Linked DNA regions of Stegostoma tigrinum. The protein of the gene in region 1 interacts with the protein of each later gene in a pairwise test. Links are inferred from orthologs where the notes say so. Each region holds a gene or a part of one and is shown in the gene's direction. Other genes may lie near its edges.

Region 1 (7,093 bases):
GAACCTCATCTCCATAAGGGCTATGTTGTCCAATACTGTCTTGGACCAACGGATTTGCATCATGAAGGGGAGGCAATGGCCTAGTGGTATTATTGCTGGACAGTTGATCTGGGGACCTAGGTTTGAATCCCACTATGGCAGATGGTGGAATTTGAGTTCAAGAAAATATCTGGAATTAAGAGTCTAATGACCATGAATCCATTGCTGATTGTCAGGGGGAAAACCCACCTGGTTCACTAATGTCCTTTAGGAAAGGGAACACCCTTACCTGGTCTGGCCTACATGTGACTCCAGACCCACAGCAATGAAGTTGACTCTAAATTGCCCCCTTGGTGATTCAGGATGAGAAATAAATGCTGCCCAGCCAGCAATGTCCTCATTCCATTAATGAAAAAATGGTGAAGATGACATCAAGTATGTTTTTTACCACTTTTTGGTCCCTTCACCACCTTGAACCAGATTAGGTCAGATGGCACTGTCCTTTGGGACTTGACCAGTTCAGGCAGATGTGGTGCTGCCAAGCCACTTTTGGCGATGAACATTGATGTTTCCCACCGAGAGTACATTCTGCACCCTTTCTACTCTCATTGCCTTCTCCAAGTGACACTCAACATGGAGAAGCACCAATTCTTCAGGGGAAAGAGTGCATGGTCATCACTAAGTGGTGTCCTTTTCCACGTCTGACCTGATACTAAGAATCTCCCTGGGGTTCAGAATAAATATTGCAGGCACCCAGGGAAACTTCCTTCAACTCTATACCACTCTCCTGCTACCTCTGCTAGAATGTCTTGCAGGAACAGGATATAGCCATGAAGTGATGGCATTGACTGCCATATTGTCTGCAAAGTATGATTCTGTGCGAATGACTATATCAAGCTTTGCTTGAGTTATCTGAGATAGAGCTCTTCTAATTTTGACACTAGTCCTCAGCTGCTATTAAAGACACTTTGCAGGGTCAGAAGGCTGAATTTCCCATTGTCATTTCTAACGTCTAGATCAATACCAGGCAGTCGGTCCACAGTCATTTTTTTAAAAAAGAGTTTGGAGTAGTTGAATACAACTGAGAAGTTTACTAGGCCATTTCAGAGATATTAAGAGGAAACCACATTGCTTTAGGTCTGAAGTCACATGTAGACCAGATGAGGTATGGGGCATTAGTGAACCTGATGGGTTTTTATAGCCGTCATTAGGCATTTTGCTCAGATTTTGTTTTTGAATTCAAATTAATTTGCCATGTTGGAACTCCAAACTAGGTCTTCAGGTCATTATCTGAGTCGCCGGATTAGTAGTCCATCGACAATACAACAATTTATTACCTCTCCACTGTTGCAAATATTGGAAAAACTGCCTTTGGGCCCTACCACAAATTCAATTTAAATTATCAAGGGGTTTGGAGATCCTGCAGTTCTCCATTCCTTCCTACTTGGTGACACCTTGACTAATCAGGTCAATTTGTAGCTTTTTCTCTTGTACTGTATACTGCAACAGTTTGAAATTTGTGCTGTTTGCCCTGATGAGTGCAATACAAAAAGCTTTGGTAACATGTCACTCTATTTAGCAAAACTCAAGTCTGTACTCAGGGATTCTTTCTTCCTGCCAATGGTTTGAGGCCGAACTGAACAGTTTGAAATTTTCAAAAACAGTCAATTCAACCACATAAATGCTCCACCACAAAAGCCAACTCCGTAATACTGTGAACTCCAACACTGTTTCAATTGTAATGCAGTTGAAATCACCATCCCATGCCTTTATCTCCTTTAGACTTGACCATTCTAACATACTCTTGGCCAGTTTCTCATCTTCCGCTCTTGATAAATGTTAGCCAATCCAAACTCTACTGTCTATATTCTAAGACTCAACTATTCTTTAGAACATTAAATGGCTGAAGGGTCTTTGACTGATGATGGAAAGTGAGATGGGCAAGGTGGACGTATGTAAACAAAGATCAGGAAAGTGGAAACTAATATCTAAATCTTTGATTTCCTTTAATTTTACGATCTATTTTATTACTTGTTCTTTGCATGTTTTTGATTAGGCTATGAAAATATTGCAATATAAATGACTGTAACTGGAGTTGCACTCATGATCAACTTGGCTGTTAAGGAGCATTCTAGAGATTTAACTTGTTAGAAATTTAAGGGACAAGAATGAAACAATTCTTACTTGTTTTGATCCCATAGCTGTGCCTTTCATTTAAACAAAGATATTCCAAAGAGTTTAAAAAGGCACCTTCAGCAATGACCCAGTCTAGCTTTATTTCACATTTGAATTTCAGCAAACAGGTTTGAATGGGAGATTAACACAGTTTGGATAGAGGCTGAAATTGTATCAGAGATAATGGGAACTGCAGATTCTGGAGAATCCGAGATAATAAACTGTAAAGCTGGACGAACACAGCAGGCCAAGCAGCATCTCAGGAGCTCCTGAGATGCTGCTTGGCCTGCTGTGTTCATCCAGTTTTACACTTTATTATCTCAGATAGAGGCTGATAATTAGGTTAACTAGAGATATTAAAAAAACATGCTGGAAATGCTCAGCCAGTCTCTAGAGATGGAAGAAGTTATTAATTCAGATTAATAGATAACATTTCATCAGAACAAAGTTCACCAACTCAAAAACGTAGCTCTGTTGTTTTCTCCACAGATGTTGTCAGATTTGCTTAGCTTTTCTGGTATTTTTAATTTTAGATTTTCAGGGTTTGCAATGAATTGGTTTACAACAGCTTATTTCTTTTTTGAGGGAGGTTTTATGAAATCCTAATAAATCTTTGCAATCAGAAAAGATGAACAGAGGAGAATCTTTTTAGCAGAGTTGCATTGAGCAAAGTGAAATTGCCACAGGAGATGAGGTACACTAACAGTCCAGTATTCAGTAAGTAATACAAATATTGCACATTAAAAGGTCATCTACAAAAGAATGATTTGTTATCGTAGTTTTGACAGCTTTGTTTTCAATAAAAAAGATGACTTGTTCTCTTCCTAAATTCTTGCCCAAGTCAGACATATTGATTAGAGTTCCACTTCAGTTCCCTTGCATTGTAATAGAGGGAATGCAGTGTTGTTGCAGGAAGTACTACCTTCAAATAAATTGTCAGACTGAGACTCATTTTGCCCTTTCAGCTCGATATGAAAAGTATAATGGCATTACTTTACAAGGGCAAGGAGGTTTATCTCGCATTCTTAACAACGTTTATAAAATTATTCATTTCATTGTTTCTTGTAGGACCTTGTACATAAACTAGACGCTATTCGTCCTTGCGGTACGAATAAAACCACAGTTCAAAAGCAGCTCACTAACAACGAAGCACTTTGCTATATCTTGAGGATATTTAAATGTACTACATAAATGCAAACATACTAAGTCTGTCTGCTCAACAGCACAATTATAAAATAAATTCTGAGATGACCCTTAATCACTTGTTGCGGAATGGAAACACAAGGCATAGAAATAACTCAAGCAGTTTACAAATGATCAACAGATGTGCCGGTCTATTATTACTCCGAACACGTAAACCAGAGGGCGTAAAGACACTACAGGCTGCGAGGAACAGGTGTTCCAAAACGAGGAGGCCGAGTATTAGGCCGTGGTCAGAAGTGTCGAGCTACGGTCATCCCACGAATTTCGACTCAAGAAAAAAAAAACTCCAGTCGGTCTCAAGTTGCACCTATTTGCAGCAGTCTGAAATCGTGCTCAGAGTTTCGCACAGCAATGAAATAAACATTAAGTAGCGAAACGTCCGCGGGTTAGAGCAGCATCCGCCTTTCCTGGTCCTCCCCAACCCGACGATCCTGGTTAAAATCTTAGCATCCACTTTACACATAACTCACAATCAAAACAGAGGCAGAACTTCGTGTGGCTAAATACTCTGGCGACCATTTTCAATGCGGCAGTACTCGAGACTAAGGCGCTAGCTAAACAGGGCAGAGAGATAACTCTACCAGATTACCGAACATTTCACCACCCCGGACTCAGGAGGAGGAGGGTGCGCGCGCATCCGTCATCATTTGGAGCGGACCCGGCGACGTCACTGCGCCGAATGCGTACTACGTCATCGGATCAGAGTATGGTCGCCATTGGGTTAAACGCCTGAGAAAGCCGAGCGAGGAAGCTAAGTTGAAGAGGGGGGTGGGTGGGTAGAAACTGCGGCCTTTAAGCTACTTAGCCCGCCCCCGACACCCCGCACTCCGAGAGCCCCTTTCGGAATCCGAGCCTGGTGCAAGTGGCGATTAATGAAGAATGTCTGCGACAAGCGTTGACCCTCAGGTAGGTAGGGCTCGGAAGCGGCTGGGTCTTTGTTGTGTTCTACCCCCCCCCCCCCCCAACACACACTCCTCCTCTCGCTGCTTCACTGGGGGGAGGGGGGGCTGAGCCGCGGGCTTCGTTCTACTATTTACCGAGGTGCCTTAACACTTCTTTCTCTTTTATTTAATTTGCTTCCCGTGTGTTGCTATGTCCGTCCGGTGGTGGCCCCTAATCAGAGAGCGAAAGGACAAGAGAATAAAGGTAAAGTGCTGGCCTGGAGGCCCCGGGGCTGCTGCAGATGCCTTAAATAACGTGGAAAGTTGCCATGAATGGCTTTTATTTTATCTGCTGCGTCCCACTCGGGAGGTATCGCCTATCCTTCCCTTTCCCCGTCCTGGCTATGCCTCGGTGATTTGGGGTCGGCGGCAACATAAGGACTAAATGTGGCGTAAATGCCCGATAAAAGTTGGGAGTTAAGGCCAAGTTTCCCCTCTCGTCGTGGGATCGGCCTCCTCCCGCTTTATGATGACTTGTACTAAGGAAACGTCAGATGTTTCTCCTTTGAACGTCCCTCCTTTTGTCCAGAAAAGCAATTGTGAAGAGAGTTTATTGTTATTCGTTTGTATAAACACAAGTTTCTTTCTTTCCCTGTTTAACAAGAGTACAGTCATCTGAAATTTAACAAAATGCAACTTTTGGAAACAGAAAATGTTAGAAATGCGTCTGCCGTTCGATATTTACTACTCTTGTTTTCCGTTTTCAGATCTTGATTCTCTATATACGTGTATAATTTTCTTTGTTTTTGCCACAGTTTTATTACAACTTTTGAATATTTGTAGGACTTGACTTGTATGGATATTTACAAGAATGTTTTACATTACAGTGCAAAATGGTTCATTGCATCAAAAGGATACAGTGCACGACAATGATTTTGAGCCATACTTAAGCAGCCAGTCCAATCAGGTGAGTTAAATACCTATTTTATCTTAAGATCCTCTAGCTCAGCATAATCCGGCAAACCTGCTAGTTAGTTGGAAAACCATAAGTATTAACTTTTCATTCTTTGGATGCTTGAATGATAAGTTGGCAAATTGCATATAATATACATATTGTACATTGTAAAAGGGCATTCAAGCTAGAGAACTTGTGCCGTTTTATGGATTTTGTAGCAGCAGGCTTAGAAAGAAATGTGAAGTAGTTACTTTGGTAGGATAAATGTTTTTAGGTGCTTGGGAATGTGTGATGTTAATATTGATGGCACAGGTTAAATTACACAAGCACACCAGCTTCAAAATCTTGATTTTGTAACAATTATTGTATCTCTCTTCATGACATTATGCCCACAGCCTTTCATTTTAAAGGACTTTATACAATCAGTTGTATGTTTTGTGGGGCAATTTAATCAACTTTGTGGAATCAATTCCCTGGATTTTATGTTGGGAGCATTTTCTGCCAAATATTTTGTTTAAGTAAATGCGTGTTTAATGTCTGAAAGGTGGATCACTCCTTGAAATAATTTTTTCTTTCGTTTATCTAGTTTGATTCATAACATACTATCATTGATCATGTTATATATGAACATAAGCTTGAATGAAAACAAAACTGGTTTGACACTTGCTTTTGCTTGTGAATCATTGAAAGTTGCTGATCTCTGCACCAGATGTAGTTGCAAAAGAATTTTCTGCCCAATGAAGGGACTTGCTGTGTACAAGTGTGCTGTTGCTGTCAATCTCAATATTGCATTAATTGCAAGGTGTGGGCAAAATTTGACAATCCCAAGTTAGCCTTTTGGTTATATGTAGACTTGAGCACACTATCAAATTTCAGTTATTAGTTTCAGAGATAGTATACATTGCCGTATTAGTTCAAGGGTACGGAATAAAAAAAATCTCAAGTTGTATCCTTTAATTGAATAGGAAAACATGTGTCTGAGCACCAAAAAAAAGTTTTTGCTCACTGTCTGTTGTTGTTTTCTCCTATTTGCTTTTTATTTAAGTAACAAGAATTTGTATTTGAGCTTGTCTAAGATTTTGGCAAGTTATCTGATGCAGGGGAATCTCGGCCTGTCTCAGTCCTGTCCTCATTGCAACGTACGTTGCTAGTAATTGAAAGTTCAGAGATTAGATTTGTGAGCCTTGATTTTTCTCTCCCCACTTCCTATCCCAGATGCACTGAGGTCTATTTCTTGCTTTTGTATTGTCACTGATCAGATAGCTCAGCCTAGATTAAGTATCAAATTGGGATTTTTCTGCTTGATATGACAGCTTCTCTCTGATTTTCTATGCCATTGGAGGAACTGCTGTCAGCAATAAATCTGTTATTTTTAATATGACTGTTTGTTTGAATTAAGTTTACATTTAATTTTTGTGATTATTTTAGGAAATACACTTTGAATATTCAAACCTAAGTTGGCTATGTCTAAAATACTTGTTACTTAAATCAAATGTTCTAAGCAGTGTTTCATGTTGCTTTTTCCTAATGTTGTAAAGTTAACTAAAAGTGGTAAGGTATTTAAACAAATGTTTGTTTAACCTACATCTCTCAAAAATCCACGGTTGTTTAAAATTATTTAAGCATGTGCTAAACTGCTGAATATTAGGGCAAAATAGACTTGAGGCTCTTGAACAGTTTAATTCTGAATGAAAATTTTACTATAAACTATAACTCAAACAAAAAAACCTAGTGCATTTGCTGTAAAGCCCAAGGATGTCATAGACTTGTTGGAAAATAGACAGGTGAAGTTGAAATATTTTGGTGCTGATACACAAGTCATCAACTTTACTGAACACAGGTTAGTAAGGTGATTTTTATTCAAAACAGCAATCAGCACTGAAGTCATTTTTTTTGATAG
Region 2 (6,923 bases), on another chromosome or scaffold:
GGTAAGATGTATGAGTGGATGTCAGCTATTTGAACCACCAAGACTGCTCTGCCATTCAACAAGATCATGGCTGATCTGATAATTCTCAACTCCACTTTCCTGCCTTTACTGCATACTCCTTGTTTCCCTTCTTGATTAACTTTTGCATATCTCAGCTTTGAATATACTTAAGAAACTAGCCTTGACAACTTTCTGTAGGAAAGAATTCTACAGATTCTCAGGAAGCGAAGGAATTCTTCGTTATCTGTGTCCTAACTGGGTGACCCCTTCTTCAGAGATTACATCCACTATACCCTTTCCGTCTCAGACAGTGAAAATAACTCTCCATATCTAAACTGTCATGTGTCTAAAAATCTTGAATGTTTCACTAGGGTCACCCCTCATTCTTCGAAGCCCTAAGTACAAGCCAAACCTACTCAAACCCTTCTCATGAGAAAATCCATAGATACCCGCAATTGACCTAGTGACTGACTCCAAAGCCAATATATCATTCCTTAGGTAAGGGGAACAAAAACTATTCGTAATATTATAAGTGTCATTGAAATAGTGTCACACGTAGTTTTAACAAGACTTCCCGATTTTTGTCCTCCATTCCGTTTAAAATAAAGACCAACATTCCATTTACTATCCTTATTACACACTGACATTGTATGCTAGTGTTTTGCGATTTATGCATGAGGATGCCAAATCCTCTTCCAGCAACTTCTGTTTTTGTTTCTGATTAAAGCATCCACAATTCTTTTGGTTTTTAGGTTTTCCACTACCTTCTCAAGGGCAATTTGAGATGAGCAATAAATAGTGACCTTAATAGTTTATAAGAATATATCATGAATATATAAAACAAGGACCGGGACTGATGTCCTTGGGGGACTATTTGCAAGAGTTGTTGGGGAGGCTTTAAACTAAAATAGCATGAGCGAGGAATCAGAGGAGGGAGAATCAAGGACAAGGACAACAAACAGAATGGGGAATAAGAAAAGTGATAGGCAAGAAATCATGGGCCACAATCAAATAGGGGCATATTTAAAAATAATGGAAATGGGACAAGTAATAATAAAAAAGGCCAATTATAATGCTTTGTGTTTCAATGTGTGGAACATTTACAATAAATTGAATGAATCAATCACGCAAATGAATAAAAACAAGTATGATTTAATCAGAATTATGGAGACATGGCTGCAGTGTGACAAGGAATGGGAAGTGAATATCCAGAGGTGTTCAGTAATGAGGAAGGATAGATGAAAAGGAAAAATCAGTAATGTTGCATTGTTGGTTAAAGAGAAAATTAATGCAATAGTGAGGAAGCATAGTAGCTCGATGATACAGAATCTGTGTCATTAGAGCTGAGAAACACCAAAGGGCAAAATCATTAGTGGTGGTTGGATATAAACCCCTGAACTGTAAGGATGATGTTGGGAGTGGCATTAAACAGGACCAGTACATTTTGTTTCCTGTCTGCTAATCAACTGTTAATCCATGCAAGTATATTACAACCAAACTAATGTGCTTTGATCTTGCACAGTAAACTCATACTTGGGACTTTATCGAAAGCCTTCTGAAAATCCAGTACACCAGCACACTGGTTCTTCTTCACCTATTCTGAGACTAATGTCTGCAAAAAATTCCAGGTTGTTTGTCAAATACAATTTTCTCCATACAGCCTTTTTCTTTAAACAGCAATGTTACATTTGCCACAGCCCAATCTGCTAGAACTGTTCAAGAGCTAACCAAGGCCCTTGAGTCCTTCGAAAAAAGTAAAACTCCTAGAAGGGATGGCTTACCAGCTAAGTTGTATTCAGCTTGAAGGACTTGATAGGCCAGCACCCAGTGGAGATGTACAATAGTATGATTCTGGCAGGGAGAATATGTGAATTTAAGAGGAAAGGTATCATCACCCTCATCGACAAGTGGACAGGGGACAGGGAAGAAATTAGAAATTGCCAATCATTGAATATGGATTACAAGATCCTGTCTAAGGTCATTGCCAACTGGGTCAAGTCTGCTCTGGGTTCGGTGATTCACCCTGATCAAACCTGTGCTGTACCAGGAAGGACCACCTCTGGGAGTCACGTGCTCCTCATAAGTATGATCACCTATGTGCAAAGAAGGGCAGTGGGTGCCTTCCTCATCAGCCTGGACCAGGGGAAGGCCTTTGACAGGACATCACACACCAACATGTGGGACATGCTCCCTAAAACAGGTTTTGGACAGCGAATATGAAATTGGATCCAACTGGTCTGCACCAAGCTCTGTAGTGTAGTTTCAGTCAATGGGTGAGAATCAGAAAGCTTCCTGATCAGACCTGGAGTCTGGAAAGGCTGTCCACTCTCTCCTGCTTTCTTTGTGCGCTGTATAGAAGCTTTTGCCAATTCCATCAGGAAGTGTGCGAGAGGGGTGATTTTCCAGGCAGCAGAGGCCTACAGGTCAAAACTGCCCTGTACATGAATTACATCATTGTTTTCTGCTTGGGTCCACTGCGCACAGAATCATGAAAATCTGCAACCAGTTTGAACTGGCCTTGGGAGTCAAGGTAAATCAAGGCAAGAATGAGGTCATGTTCTTTGGGAACTGGGCTGACTGATCCTCTGTCTCCTTCACCATTGTAGGGTTATAATGAAGGCATATGGCGTGTTTACTTTTGTTGGCAGGGGAATTGAGGTTAAGAGCCACGAGGTTATGTATACGAACCACTGTCTGTGTGAAAAGGTTGCTCCTCAGGTCCATTTTAAATCTTCCTCCTCTCAACTTAAATTTATGCTCTGTAGTTTAAAAGTCCCCTCTGCTAGGAAAAAGACCTTCACTATTCATTTTATCTATTCCCAATTAATTTACAAGCCTCTATAAAGGTCACTCCTCAATCTGTTAGGGCACATTTGGAATATTGTGGTCAGTTCTGTTCACTACATGACGGAAGGATGTGGAAGCTTTGCAAAGCATACAGAAACAATCTTCCAGGATGTTGCCTGCTTTGGAGGATATTTGCTATAAGGAGAGATTGGACAAACTTGATTTGTTTTCACTTGAATGTCGAAGGATGAGTTGCAACCTTTTGGAAGTTTACAAAATTATGTGAGGCATGGAGAGACTGGTCAGAGTTTTATTCCTAGGGTAGGAATGTCAATTATTAGGGAGCACAGGTTTAAGGTACCAGGCAATAAGCTTAAAGGAGATGATAGAGGCAGGTTTTTGTTGACACAGATGGTGATAAGTGACTGGAATGTGCTGTTCCAGGAGGTGGTGGAGGCGGATACAGTAGCAACGTTTAAGAAGCATCTTGACAAATATGTGGGATATCAAGGTGGAGAGCTGGATGAACATAGCCGGCCAAGCAGTATCAGAGGAGAGCTGACGTTTCGGGTCCAGACCCTTCTTCAGAAAACAGTGAATAGGCTGAGAACAGAGGGATACGGACAGTGTAGAGGCAAAAGGTTTTTAGTTTAGAAAGGCATCAAGCGTCTGCAAAGTCTGTTCTTGCTTGTTCCAAAAAGGGAACTTGAAAAGGAGCAACGGACAGGATTACAGGGAGAAGGCAAGATGATTGCACTGGGTGAGACCTCACGGATACAGTGAACCGAGTGGTTTCCTTCCGTGCTCTAAGAATTCTGCAAAATTACTTTTGTACTTTGAAGTGATGGAAGGATTCAAACTACTTATTCGACTGACACTCCTTCCATTGACAGAACAATTGTTACTGCAGCAAATAGAGTGCACACCACCCTATTAAGAGCAGTAGAGAACTTTCAAGAGCTCTCACAATCCTACCGCATTAACCATCGCCTAGTACTCGATTCTGCCGCCAGAGGCAGCGCTGGGCTCATTGTCGGAGTTCCTGACTTTTTTTTGTAAACGGTCCATCTTGCGCATTGTTCCGGTCTCTCCGCGAAGTTCTGGAGCCGGCCTGAGGAACCAGCCCGTGTTTCCAAGATGGCGGTGTACGCAGGTGGGATGTCGCGGCTGCTGTGTTTCTTGTTGAGGAGGTTGTGCCCGCGAAGGCAGCCCAGCACCGGAGCCCGGGGACCGCCGGCGCCTCTGGCTTGGCACTCGGAGTGGGAGTGCGGCCCCATATGGATGACAGCGGCCATGAGCCGGTTCAGGCACACGACGAGTCGGCGGCAGCAGCAGGTCACGCCGCGGGGAGAGGAGGGAATGTCGGAGCCGCCGCTGCCAACTGGAGCGAGCGGTCAGCAAGGTGCGGGCTACTGACTCCTCCGGGGGACACACTTCAACCTTGCAGTATTTGTTGTGTATATAAGCACACGCATGTTACAAAGTACTTACACAGTGTATTGAAAGACCAACGACAAAAATATAAATACTCAAAACTACCCATCAAGTATTGGGATATAGAAACAAAATGCAGTTGCGCACAAATATTCAACTAAATTCAGTAGTTTGCTGAAAAAGAGATTAAAGTGATTCATTTTTGGGGGGTTCGTGACCACAGTTCTCTGAGATCTGCCACCTAGTTGGATAGAGTTGTTAAGAAGGTGTATGGTGTGTTAGCTTTCATTAATAGAGGACTCGAGTTCAAAGGCCATGAAGTTATGCTCCAGCCGTACAGCACCCTGGTTCGGCCACATCTGGAGTATTGTGTCCGGTTCTGGTCACCTCATTACAGGAAAGATGTGAAGGCGTTGAAAAAGCTGCAGAGGAGATTTACTAAGATGTTGCCTGAAATAGAGGGAAGGTCTTAACGAGGAACGGTTGAGAGTGCTAGGGCTTTTCTCTTTAGAACGACGAAGGATGAGAGGTGACTTGATAAGAGGTGTATAAAATCATCAAAGGTCTAGATAGAGTAGACAGCCAGAGGCGTTTTGCTAGGGTGGAGGTAGCTATTACGAAGGGGCATAATTTTAAAGTGAGTGGAGGTAGATATGGGAGATTCAGAGGTAGGTTCTTTACTTGGAGAGTGATAGGGGTGTGAAATGCATTGCCAGAGCAGGTAGTGGAGTCAGTCTCATTAGGGACAGTTAAGTGGCTATTAGATAGGCATATGGATGATAGTATATGGTGAGGGTGGAGGTTAGATAGATATTAAGTTTAGGATAAAAGTTCAGCGTAACATCGTGGCCGGAAGGACCTGTACAGCGATGTACTGATCTATGCTCTGTGTTCTGTTTTGGTAGAAAGAAATGAGGAAAGGGCATATAGCCAATGAGGAATAGAGATGGATGTGTTTGTGTACAAATTTGTGAAGTTGGCAGGACAAGTTCAGTTTAGCACTTTAGCCAATAAGTTGAGGCATTGAAAATAAAAGCAAGGAATGCATGTAAAACTTTCAACATTTGCTAGGTAGGCTGCAGTTGACGTGCGTATTGTGTACCATATTAAATTCTTGACCTGAATGTTTGGTGCATAGAAGCAAGAATTGAAAATCTGTTGTGTACATATGTTTGATTTCCTTTGTTCTCCATTCTGTGCTGAGCCAACTAATCTTCACTGTGATCTGTCAAATTGTAATTGATTGTCTTGTGATTGGAGTGGAATGACGAAGAAAGGAAGAAGTCTACAAAAAAAATCTGTGATCACACTTTACATAATCGTCCTTGAATGATGGTGTCCAGTGATCTCCAATGCAGAAAATTGACATCTTGTGGGGAAAAGACAAAGAATTGGTTTTCCAAGCATTAACTCGGTGATGATGGCTGGCATACTGAATTCACCGAAAATGTTTGTTTAGACTTACAGGCCCTTCTTCAAGAGTTTCCACAGCCTAAGAACCTGCTGGTTCAGGTCATGCAGCGAGCTCTGAAGGCTTCTAATGTAAATGATCGCATTGTCTACAAATCATTTGATGGATACATTAAAGTAAGTGGTTATCAATGTTTATTTTTCAATCTAATTTGGTTAAATTACTGTTGGCCAGTTTGGTCTTGACACTTCAGTGTGGAGAGGACAGTTCGGTAGGCTCCCTGATTCCACACCCCCAGTTGTGTAGTCATATCACCTGCAAGAAAGTATTGGATTAGCAAACTTCAAATCTTCAGTAATATTCCAGAGAAATTTCAAATCCCACTATGGCAGGTTTAGAATTTTCATTCAGTCTAAACAAATTCTGGAATTGAAAAGCTATTAGTGACCACGGAACTTTCAGAGTGCCCTAAAATTGGTTCATCTTAATGTTCTTCAAAAAAAAACCTGCTGACCTCACCTGGTTTAGTCCTTGCATGATTGCAGTTCAATACCATCAGGCCTGCCTTTTAACTTTGAAGTGGTCAAGCAAAGTAGCTTGGGATGGCAAATGAATGTTGCCTTGATAGTGGGATGGCCACATTCTGATACTGAATAACATAAGAGAGAAAGACAGACTTGATTCTTTCACGACACGATCTACAAAGAATCTGTTGGAATCTTTGAAGTGTGCCCAAGTCAACTCTTGCAGAATTTTGAATTAATCCCACCTCTTGTTCTTTTCACCATAACCCTGAAAAGTATTCTTCCAGTATGTGTTCATTTTCCTTTAGAAATTAATATTGAATCTAGTTTCTCCATTCTCCCAAGAGAACTCTTTCATCATTCTCAGATGGCAGGTTTCAAACTGAGGATTGAATGATAGGTGTGGTATTCATTTCTTCAGGGTGCTCTACTATTGGTGCATCACCTCTCTTCATCCCCTTCCTTAGATTGCTGGATAGATTATAATGCTGGTTGAATGGACAATGTTCAGGGTTTGAGTGAAGATTTGCAGCTTGAGTGCTGGTTGTAGATGTGTTCGCTGATTTGGGAGGTTTGATAGCAGACTTTTTGTGAAGAAGGCTCCACAGCACTGAGAATGTCACCTAATAAGGGGACAAAATGTCTGCTATCAAACTTCCCAGCTCGGAGAACACACCAACATCTGTGAATGGACAACATTCTAATAGAAGCCTCTAACCAATACTGACAATTGTTTATGTACTTTGAAATGAAGTTGAGGACAAGTT
Region 3 (7,671 bases), on another chromosome or scaffold:
AGAATCTGAGATAACAAGGTGTGGAGCTGGATGGACACAGCAGGCCAAGCAGCATCTTAGGAGCAGGAAGGCTGACCCAGACCCTTCTTCCTGCTCCTCTGTGATCATCCAGCTCTACACCATGTTAAAACAGCTTCAAACTGTTTCCTCACAGTGATAATGGGGACTGCAGATGCTGGAGATTCCAAGATAATAAAATGTGAGGCTGGATGAACACAGCAGGCCAAGCAGCATCTCAGGAGCACAAAAGCTGACGTTTCGGGCCTAGACCCTTCATCAGAGAGGGGGATGGGGGGAGGGAACTGGAATAAATAGGGAGAGAGGGGGAGGCGGACCGAAGATGGAGAGTGAAGAAGATAGGTGGAGAGAGTGTAGGTGGGGAGGTAGGGAGGGGATAGGTCAGTCCAGGGAAGACGGACAGGTCAAGGAGGTGGGATGAGGTTAGTAGGTAGCGGGGGGTGCGGCTTGGGGTGGGAGGAAGGGATGGGTGAGAGGAAGAACCGGTTCTTCCTCTCACCCATCCCTTCCTCCCACCCCAAGCCGCACCCCCCGCTACCTACTAACCTCATCCCACCTCCTTGACCTGTCCGTCTTCCCTGGACTGACCTATCCCCTCCCTACCTCCCCACCTACACTCTCTCCACCTATCTTCTTCACTCTCCATCTTCGGTCCGCCTCCCCCTCTCTCCCTATTTATTCCAGTTCCCTCCCCCCATCCCCCTCTCTGATGAAGGGTCTAGGCCCGAAACGTCAGCTTTTGTGCTCCTGAGATGCTGCTTGGCCTGCTGTGTTCATCCAGCCTCACATTTTATTATCTTGTTTCCTCACAGTGTTTGTTACAGAGATTCACTCCAAGGAAATTGTATCCCTATTTCAACTCTGTAGGGTTCTACATAACTGACTTCTGACTGCTTCTTTGCTATGGGGCTGTGAGGACAATTTAATGAGTCATTTCCAGACATCAACTTTTCACACATCTACAGCCAAAACTGTCTCAGTTCTGAGAACCAGTAGATTTCTGAACAAATGCTCTTAGCTTGGATGGTTCACAATCCAAACTCTTCCATCAAGATTACATGTTCTGTGAACTATCCTTTCAGGAGCAAAACTAAAACAAGCTTCCAGACGTATTGCTGGTGTCCTTCAAATGGAACTGAAAAACTTGCTTCTGACATTTTTTTTGGAAAAAGGGCTTTCTCGCCTGAACCAGGAGCAAATTCTATTTGTAAATCTGATTGTAAACCAGACAATATAAACATATTTCCGTTTAATGCAATTTGGGGATTCGATGGATGAGCAGGGATGTTTAAAGCATTGGGAATGTCGATAATCAGAGGTTTGTTACGGTCCATCATACCTGCACTGGCTCTCTGAGCACCAGGACCTAGGCCCAGTCTCCTGCTTTCCCCTTGATGTTTCTATGGAAATAACAATCCAATGCCCCTCTTGAATACCTCAAAAGAACCTGTCTCCATCACATTTTCAGGCAGTGCATTCCATAAGACCATAAGACATAGGAGTGGAAGTAAGGCCATTCAGCCCATCGAATCCACTCTGCCATTTAATCATGGCTGACGGGCATTTCAACTCCACTTCCCTACACTCTCCCCGTAGCCCTTAATTCCCTGCGAGGTCAAGAATTTATCAATCTCTGCCTTGAAGACATCCAACGTCCTTTCCTCCACTGCACTCTGCGGCAATGAATTCCACAGGCCCACCACTCTCTGGCTGAAGAAATGTCGTCTCATTTCATTTTTAAATTTACCCTCTCTAATTTTAAGGCTGTGCCCATGGGTCCTAGTCTCCCCGCCTAATGGAAACAACTTCCCAGCGTCCTTCCCTTCTAAACCATACATTATCTTGTAAGTTTCTATTAGATCTCCCCTCAACCTTCTAAACCATACATTATCTTGTAAGTTTCTATTAGATCTCCCCTTAACCTTCTAAACTCTAATGAGTACAATCCCAGGATCCTTAGCCGTTCATCATACGTTAAACCTACCATTCCAGGGACCATCCGTGTGAATCTCTGCTGGACACGCTCCAGGGCTAGTACGTCCTTCCTGAGGTGTGGGGCCCAAAATTGGACACAGTATTCTAAATGGGGTCTAATTCCGGGCCCAAACTACTTTCTTTGGTTCAATCCTGGGATGTACGGTGTTAACGGGGCCAGCATTTATGCCTAACCCTAATTATGAAGAGCCATCCACACTGCTGTGGGTCTGGAGTCACGTGTAAGCCCAGACCAGATAAGAATGCCAGACTTCCTTCCCTAAAGGGGCATTAGCGAACAAGATGGGGTTTTCTGACAATCAACAATGGTGATAGCCATCAACAGTTTCATAGTCGTCATTAACCCCCTAATTCCACATTTTTACTGAACTTGTATCCCACCATGGGGGATTCAGATCTGCCTGCCAGGGTCTCTACTTTAATAGTCTACTGATAATAGCATTTGGCCATCACCTCTCTACTTCAAATCATAGAAGGCCTATAGTGCAAAAGCAGAACATTCTGCCCAGTGAGTCCACACTGACCCTCCAGAAAGCATCCCACCCCACCCATTCCTGTTACCTTGCATTTCCACGGACTATCCACCTAGCCTGCTCACCTTTGGACTGTTGCCATTTGTACTTAATGTGGACAAATGCATTATTTCTTCACTGCAATAATTACCACTCCCTTTGCGTTTTGATGTCTTTTAGCCTTTCCTGCCCTCTAAGATATCCCTTTTCTCCTAACTCAAGCTGACCTATCCCCCTTTTCTCAACAGTGTTAAAATTAACTCATTACAATTCTAGCTTCCTTCAGTTCTGAACAGTCATAGTGGGGCTTGAAACATTAACTTTGTTTCTCTGTTCGCAGATTCTGCCTGCGTTGCATTGCCAGTGCACTGTTTTAATTTCACTCTTACTGAGTAAAAGAGCTTTTCTGATTTCACATTTACTTCTTGTGCAGAACCTCTGTAATCCATGGTGTCTGGTTCTCGACCTGTTTATGAGGGGGACCAGCTCGTACCTATCCCCTCTGTCCAGACCATTCACAATTTTGCAAAGTTCTATTAAATCTCCTCTTAGCTTTCTCCTCTCCGAGGAAAATCTCCAATCTTTCCTCATCCCTGGAATCATTTCCATAAACCCCCTTCTAATCCTCACTCCAATGCATTCTCTTTGAACAAAATTCATTCACAGAATGAGGGTGTCACTGGCCAGGGCAGCATTTATTGCCCCATCCCTAATCACCCAGAGGGCAGTCAAGAGCCAACCACATTGCTGTGGGTCTGGAGTCACATGTAGGCCAGCGTAAGGACCGCTGATTTCTTTCCCTAAAGGACATTAGTGAGCCTGATGTGTTCTTCCAACAATCGGCAATGAATTCATGGTCATTATTTTCAAGCCCTTAACTCCAGAACCAAAAACAGAAATTGCTGGAAAAGCTCAGTGGGTCTGGAGGAAGGGTCACCATCTCCTCACAGATGCTGCCAGATCTCCTCTGTGAGGAGATGGTGACCCTTCCTCCAGACCCACTGAGCTTTTCCAGCAATTTCTGTTTTTGGTTCTGATTTGCATCATCCATAGTTTTTTCGGTTTTTACTTAGTCCTTAATTTCAGACATCTTTTGAAATCTAATCTGCTGTGGCAGGATTCGAACCCGGGTCCCCAGAGCATTTCCTGGGTCTCTGGATTAACTATCCAGTGAAAATACCACCATCGCTCCCCATAATGCTTCTTTTAATGTAATGCCCAGAACTGTAACCAGTATTCCAGCTGAGGGCTGACCGGTGTTTTGTTCTAAATTCAGCGTGGCCTCCTTGTTGTTATACTCTACATAATTGTAGCTTGTCTGTTTTGTTATTAACTCATATCTCCAACCTGACACCTTTATTGACATAGATTCTCTGCTCCTGCACCTCCTTTAAGAATTTTCTTTGTGCCAAAATGCATCATTTCACACTTCTCCAACTTTCAACTCCCACCTAATCATGCACTGCAGCAACTTGTTCTTTTCACAATTTACAACGCTGCCAACTTTTGTGCTCTCCCATAAACTTTTGCATTGTCTTCTCCACACTTGTAACAGTGATAAGGACCTTAGATAACAAAGTGTGAAGCTGGATGAATACAGCAGGCCAAGCAGCATCTCACCTATCTTCTTTTCTCTCCATCTTCGGTCCGCCTCCCCCACTCTCCCTATTTAATTCAGAACCCTCTCTCCATCCCCCTTTTCTGATGAAGGATCGAGGCCCGAAAAGTCAGCTTTTGTGCTCCTGAGATGCTGCTGGGCCTGCTGTGTTCATCCAGCCTCACATTTTATTATCTTGGATTCTCCAGCATCTGCAGTTCCCATTATCAGTGATAAGGACCTTGTCTGAGTTCCTGAAGCTCTACCTCATGCCACCAGGTGGAGCGCCAGCGCAGTTGTTGCTGTGTCACCTCAGGTGGAGAAACGGCGCAGCCTCTGCAGTACCATGTCCGGCAGCCAGGTGGGGCGCCAGCGCAGCGACTGTAGTGCTGTCTCCGACCGCCAGGTGGAACGCCGGCGCTGTAACTGCAGTCCCGCCTCCGGCCGCCAGGTGGGGCGCCGGCGCTGCGCCTCAATCACTGCGGCCGGTTTGAGAGGCCGGAGTCGGTTTTCAGTTTAATCCTTTCGCGTAGGCCCAGGATTCTTTCCTATCCGTCTCCATCGGCCTGCGGATCGGTGTTAGTTCCTTTTTGCTGTGCGAATTGTGTCGGATTAAACCCCGAGAACGAGCCAAGGTCGGTATTTCTGTTGTGAAAAGTCTTTTCTTGTTTCAAATCCCGGGACTTTCGGCTGCTTTGTTCCCGGTGGCATCCGGCCGCCATTTTCTCCCCGATCTCCCTGCGAGAGAAAAATAAATCCCCCTCTCCGTATATCCACCCACTGCCCCCCCCCCCCCTCCGCCGCCTACGGGGCACCCTGCCCCTCCACCCCACCCCACCCCCGGGACACCACACCATCCCAACTCTCCCGACCCCCCCCCCCCCCGGATTACCCTCCCTCACAGGGTTACCCTCAGCCCCCTGGGACCCCCGATACCCCCCCTCCCCCTCCCCAACCCCACCCCCTCGATCTCCCCACCCTCCTCCCCTACCCCCCCCACCCCTCCCCCCTCACCTACCTTCCCCTACCCTCCCCACCTCCCCCACCCCCCCTCCCCTACCCCCCACCCCCCCACCCCTACCCCCCCACCCCTACCCCCCACCCCTACCCCCCACCCCTACCCCTCCACCCCTACCCCTCCACCCCTACCCCCTCCTCCACCCCTCCCCCTCCCCTACCGTCCCCACCCCCCCTCCTCGATCCCCCCCCACCCCCCCTCCTCGATCCCCCCCCACCCCCCCCTCCTCGATCCCCCCCACCCCCCCTCCTCGACCCCCCCCACCCCCCCTCCTCGATCCCCCCCCACCCCCCCTCCTCGATCCCCCTACCCCCCCTCCTCGATCCCCCTACCCCCCCTCCTCGATCCCCCTACCCCCCCTCCTCGATCCCCCTACCCCCCCTCCTCGATCCCCCCTCCTCGATTTCCCCCTCCCCCCTCGATCCCCCCCGTCGATCCCCCCTCCCCACCTCGATCCCCCCTCCCCCCCTCGATCCCCCCTCCCCCCCTCGATCCCCCCTCGATCCCCCCTCCCCCCCTCGATCCCCCCTCCCCCCCTCGATCCCCCCTCCCCCCTCGATCCCCCCCTCCCCCCCCTCGATCACCCCCTCCCCCCCTCGATCCCCCCTCCCCCCCTCGATCCCCCCTCCCCCCCTCGATCCCCCCTCGATCCCCCCCTCCCCCCCTCGATCCCCCCTCCCCCCCTCGATCCCCCCCTCCCCCCCTCGATCCCCCGATCCCCCCCTCGATCCCCCCCTCCCCCCCTCGATCCCCCCCTCCCCCCCTCGATCCCCCCTCCCCCCCTCGATCCCCCCCTCCCCCCCTCGATCCCCCCCTCGATCCCCCCTCCTCCCCCCCTCGATCCCCCCCTCCTCCCCCGATCCCCCCCTCCTCCCCCGATCCCCCCCTCCTCCCCCGATCCCCCCCTCGATCCCCCCTCCCCCCCCTCGATCCCCCCTCCCCCCCTCGATCCCCCCTCCCCCCCTCGATCCCCCCTCCCCCCCTCGATCCCCCCCTCGATCCCCCCTCCCCCCCTCGATCCCCCCGATCCCCCCCTCGATCCCCCCGATCCCCCCCTCGATCCCCTCCCTCGATCCCCTCCCTCGATCCCCCCCCTCGATCCCCCCCCTCCCCGATCCCCCCCTCCCCGATCCCCCCCTCCCCGATCCCCCCCTCCCCGATCCCCCCTCCCCGATCCCCCCTCCCCGATCCCCCCCTCCCCGATCCCCCCCTCCCCAATATCCCCCCCTCCCCGATCCCCCCCTCCCCGATCCCCCCCTCCCCGATCCCCCCCTCCCCGATCCCCCCCTCCCCCACCCCCCCCTCCCCCACCCCCCCCAATATCCCCCCTTCCCCGATCCCCCCCTCCCCGATCCCCCCCCTCCCCCACCCCCCCCAATATCCCCCCCCTCCCCCACCCCCCCCAATATCCCCCCCTTCCCCGATCCCCCCCAATATCCCCCCTTCCCCGATCCCCCCCCAATATCCCCCCTTCCCCGATCCCCCCCCAATATCCCCCCTTCCCCGATCCCCCCCAATATCCCCCCCTCCCCGATCCCCCCCAATATCCCCCCCTCCCCGATCCCCCCCAATATCCCCCCCTCCCCGATCCCCCCCAATATCCCCCCTCCCCGATCCCCCCCAATATCCCCCCTCCCCGATCCCCCCCCAATATCCCCCCTCCCCGATCCCCCCCCAATATCCCCCATCCCCGATCCCCCCAATATCCCCCATCCCTCCCCGATCCCCCCAATATCCTCCATCCCCCAAACCCTCCATCCCCTAACTCCCCAATCCCCTTCATCCCCTTTCCCAGGACCCCGACCACCAATGGATATCATCGCAGACACAGCTGCACCCCCTCCCCAATGCTGCCCAGTACCCCCTTGTCTCCCCATGACATTCCTTCTCTTCACAGATTCGAAACCCCCTCTCATCTCAATTATGTATGTTCCCAACACCCACACCACTGGAAATTGGATATACCAGCCATTTTGGACACTGGACATCCCCTGGTTACTGGAGCCACCAACCTACCCACTTCCATCCCCCCCGCCAAAAAAAAAGTGTGGGCAGCTCCCCTGAATGCAGGACATCAGTACCCCCCTCCCCACTGTTTGGACACTGGATATCTCCCTCCCCTCCATATCCTACCCCTTTTTGAATACTGAACCTGCCCCTGAGTGCTCTCTGGTAACCCTACGTTCCCTTGTGATGCGGTCACTCCTCTGGTTTGGATTCTGGGATTTTGTGGAGTTGTGGGGAGGGTGAGATTCCTGCGTCTGTTTTGTCCATGTTGTGTGTGATGCTGAATTTAAGAATTGTACTGATAGCCAGTCATGAAAGATTTTGTGTCCCCGTCTCTGTTCCCCTGTATTAGTGGTAGGTTAGGAAGGCAGCAAGTTATCCTGTATTGTTTGCAGCTGCAGTAATTTAGCCTGAACCTTTCAGTTGTTGTTATGTCTCTGATAATGTCTGGCTTTTATCCTGATCAGTTCACACCATCCTCCTCAGACTATAAGGAAGCACTGATGTGCCTGATCAATTCATCA

What was found.
Region 2: the proteins of YTH domain-containing family protein 1-like (region 1) and dhx30 interact in a two-hybrid assay, tested with the Homo sapiens proteins (2 studies listed by BioGRID, with this or other methods). The link is inferred for Stegostoma tigrinum from reciprocal best matches to the Homo sapiens genes YTHDF1 and DHX30.
Region 3: the proteins of YTH domain-containing family protein 1-like (region 1) and prrc2b interact in a two-hybrid assay, tested with the Homo sapiens proteins (2 studies listed by BioGRID, with this or other methods). The link is inferred for Stegostoma tigrinum from reciprocal best matches to the Homo sapiens genes YTHDF1 and PRRC2B.

The regions. Positions count from the first base shown.
Region 1 is NC_081372.1:29,717,836-29,724,928, forward strand, and holds the start of YTH domain-containing family protein 1-like, read left to right. Parts: upstream 1-4,024; 5' UTR 4,025-4,236; coding exon 4,237-4,263; intron 4,264-4,478; coding exon 4,479-4,503; intron 4,504-5,125; coding exon 5,126-5,205; intron 5,206-7,093.
Region 2 is NC_081358.1:94,689,181-94,696,103, forward strand, and holds the start of dhx30 (ATP-dependent RNA helicase DHX30), read left to right. Parts: upstream 1-3,915; 5' UTR 3,916-3,924; coding exon 3,925-4,189; intron 4,190-5,680; coding exon 5,681-5,808; intron 5,809-6,923.
Region 3 is NC_081382.1:40,890,863-40,898,533, reverse strand, and holds the start of prrc2b (protein PRRC2B), read left to right. Parts: upstream 1-4,612; 5' UTR 4,613-4,757; intron 4,758-7,671.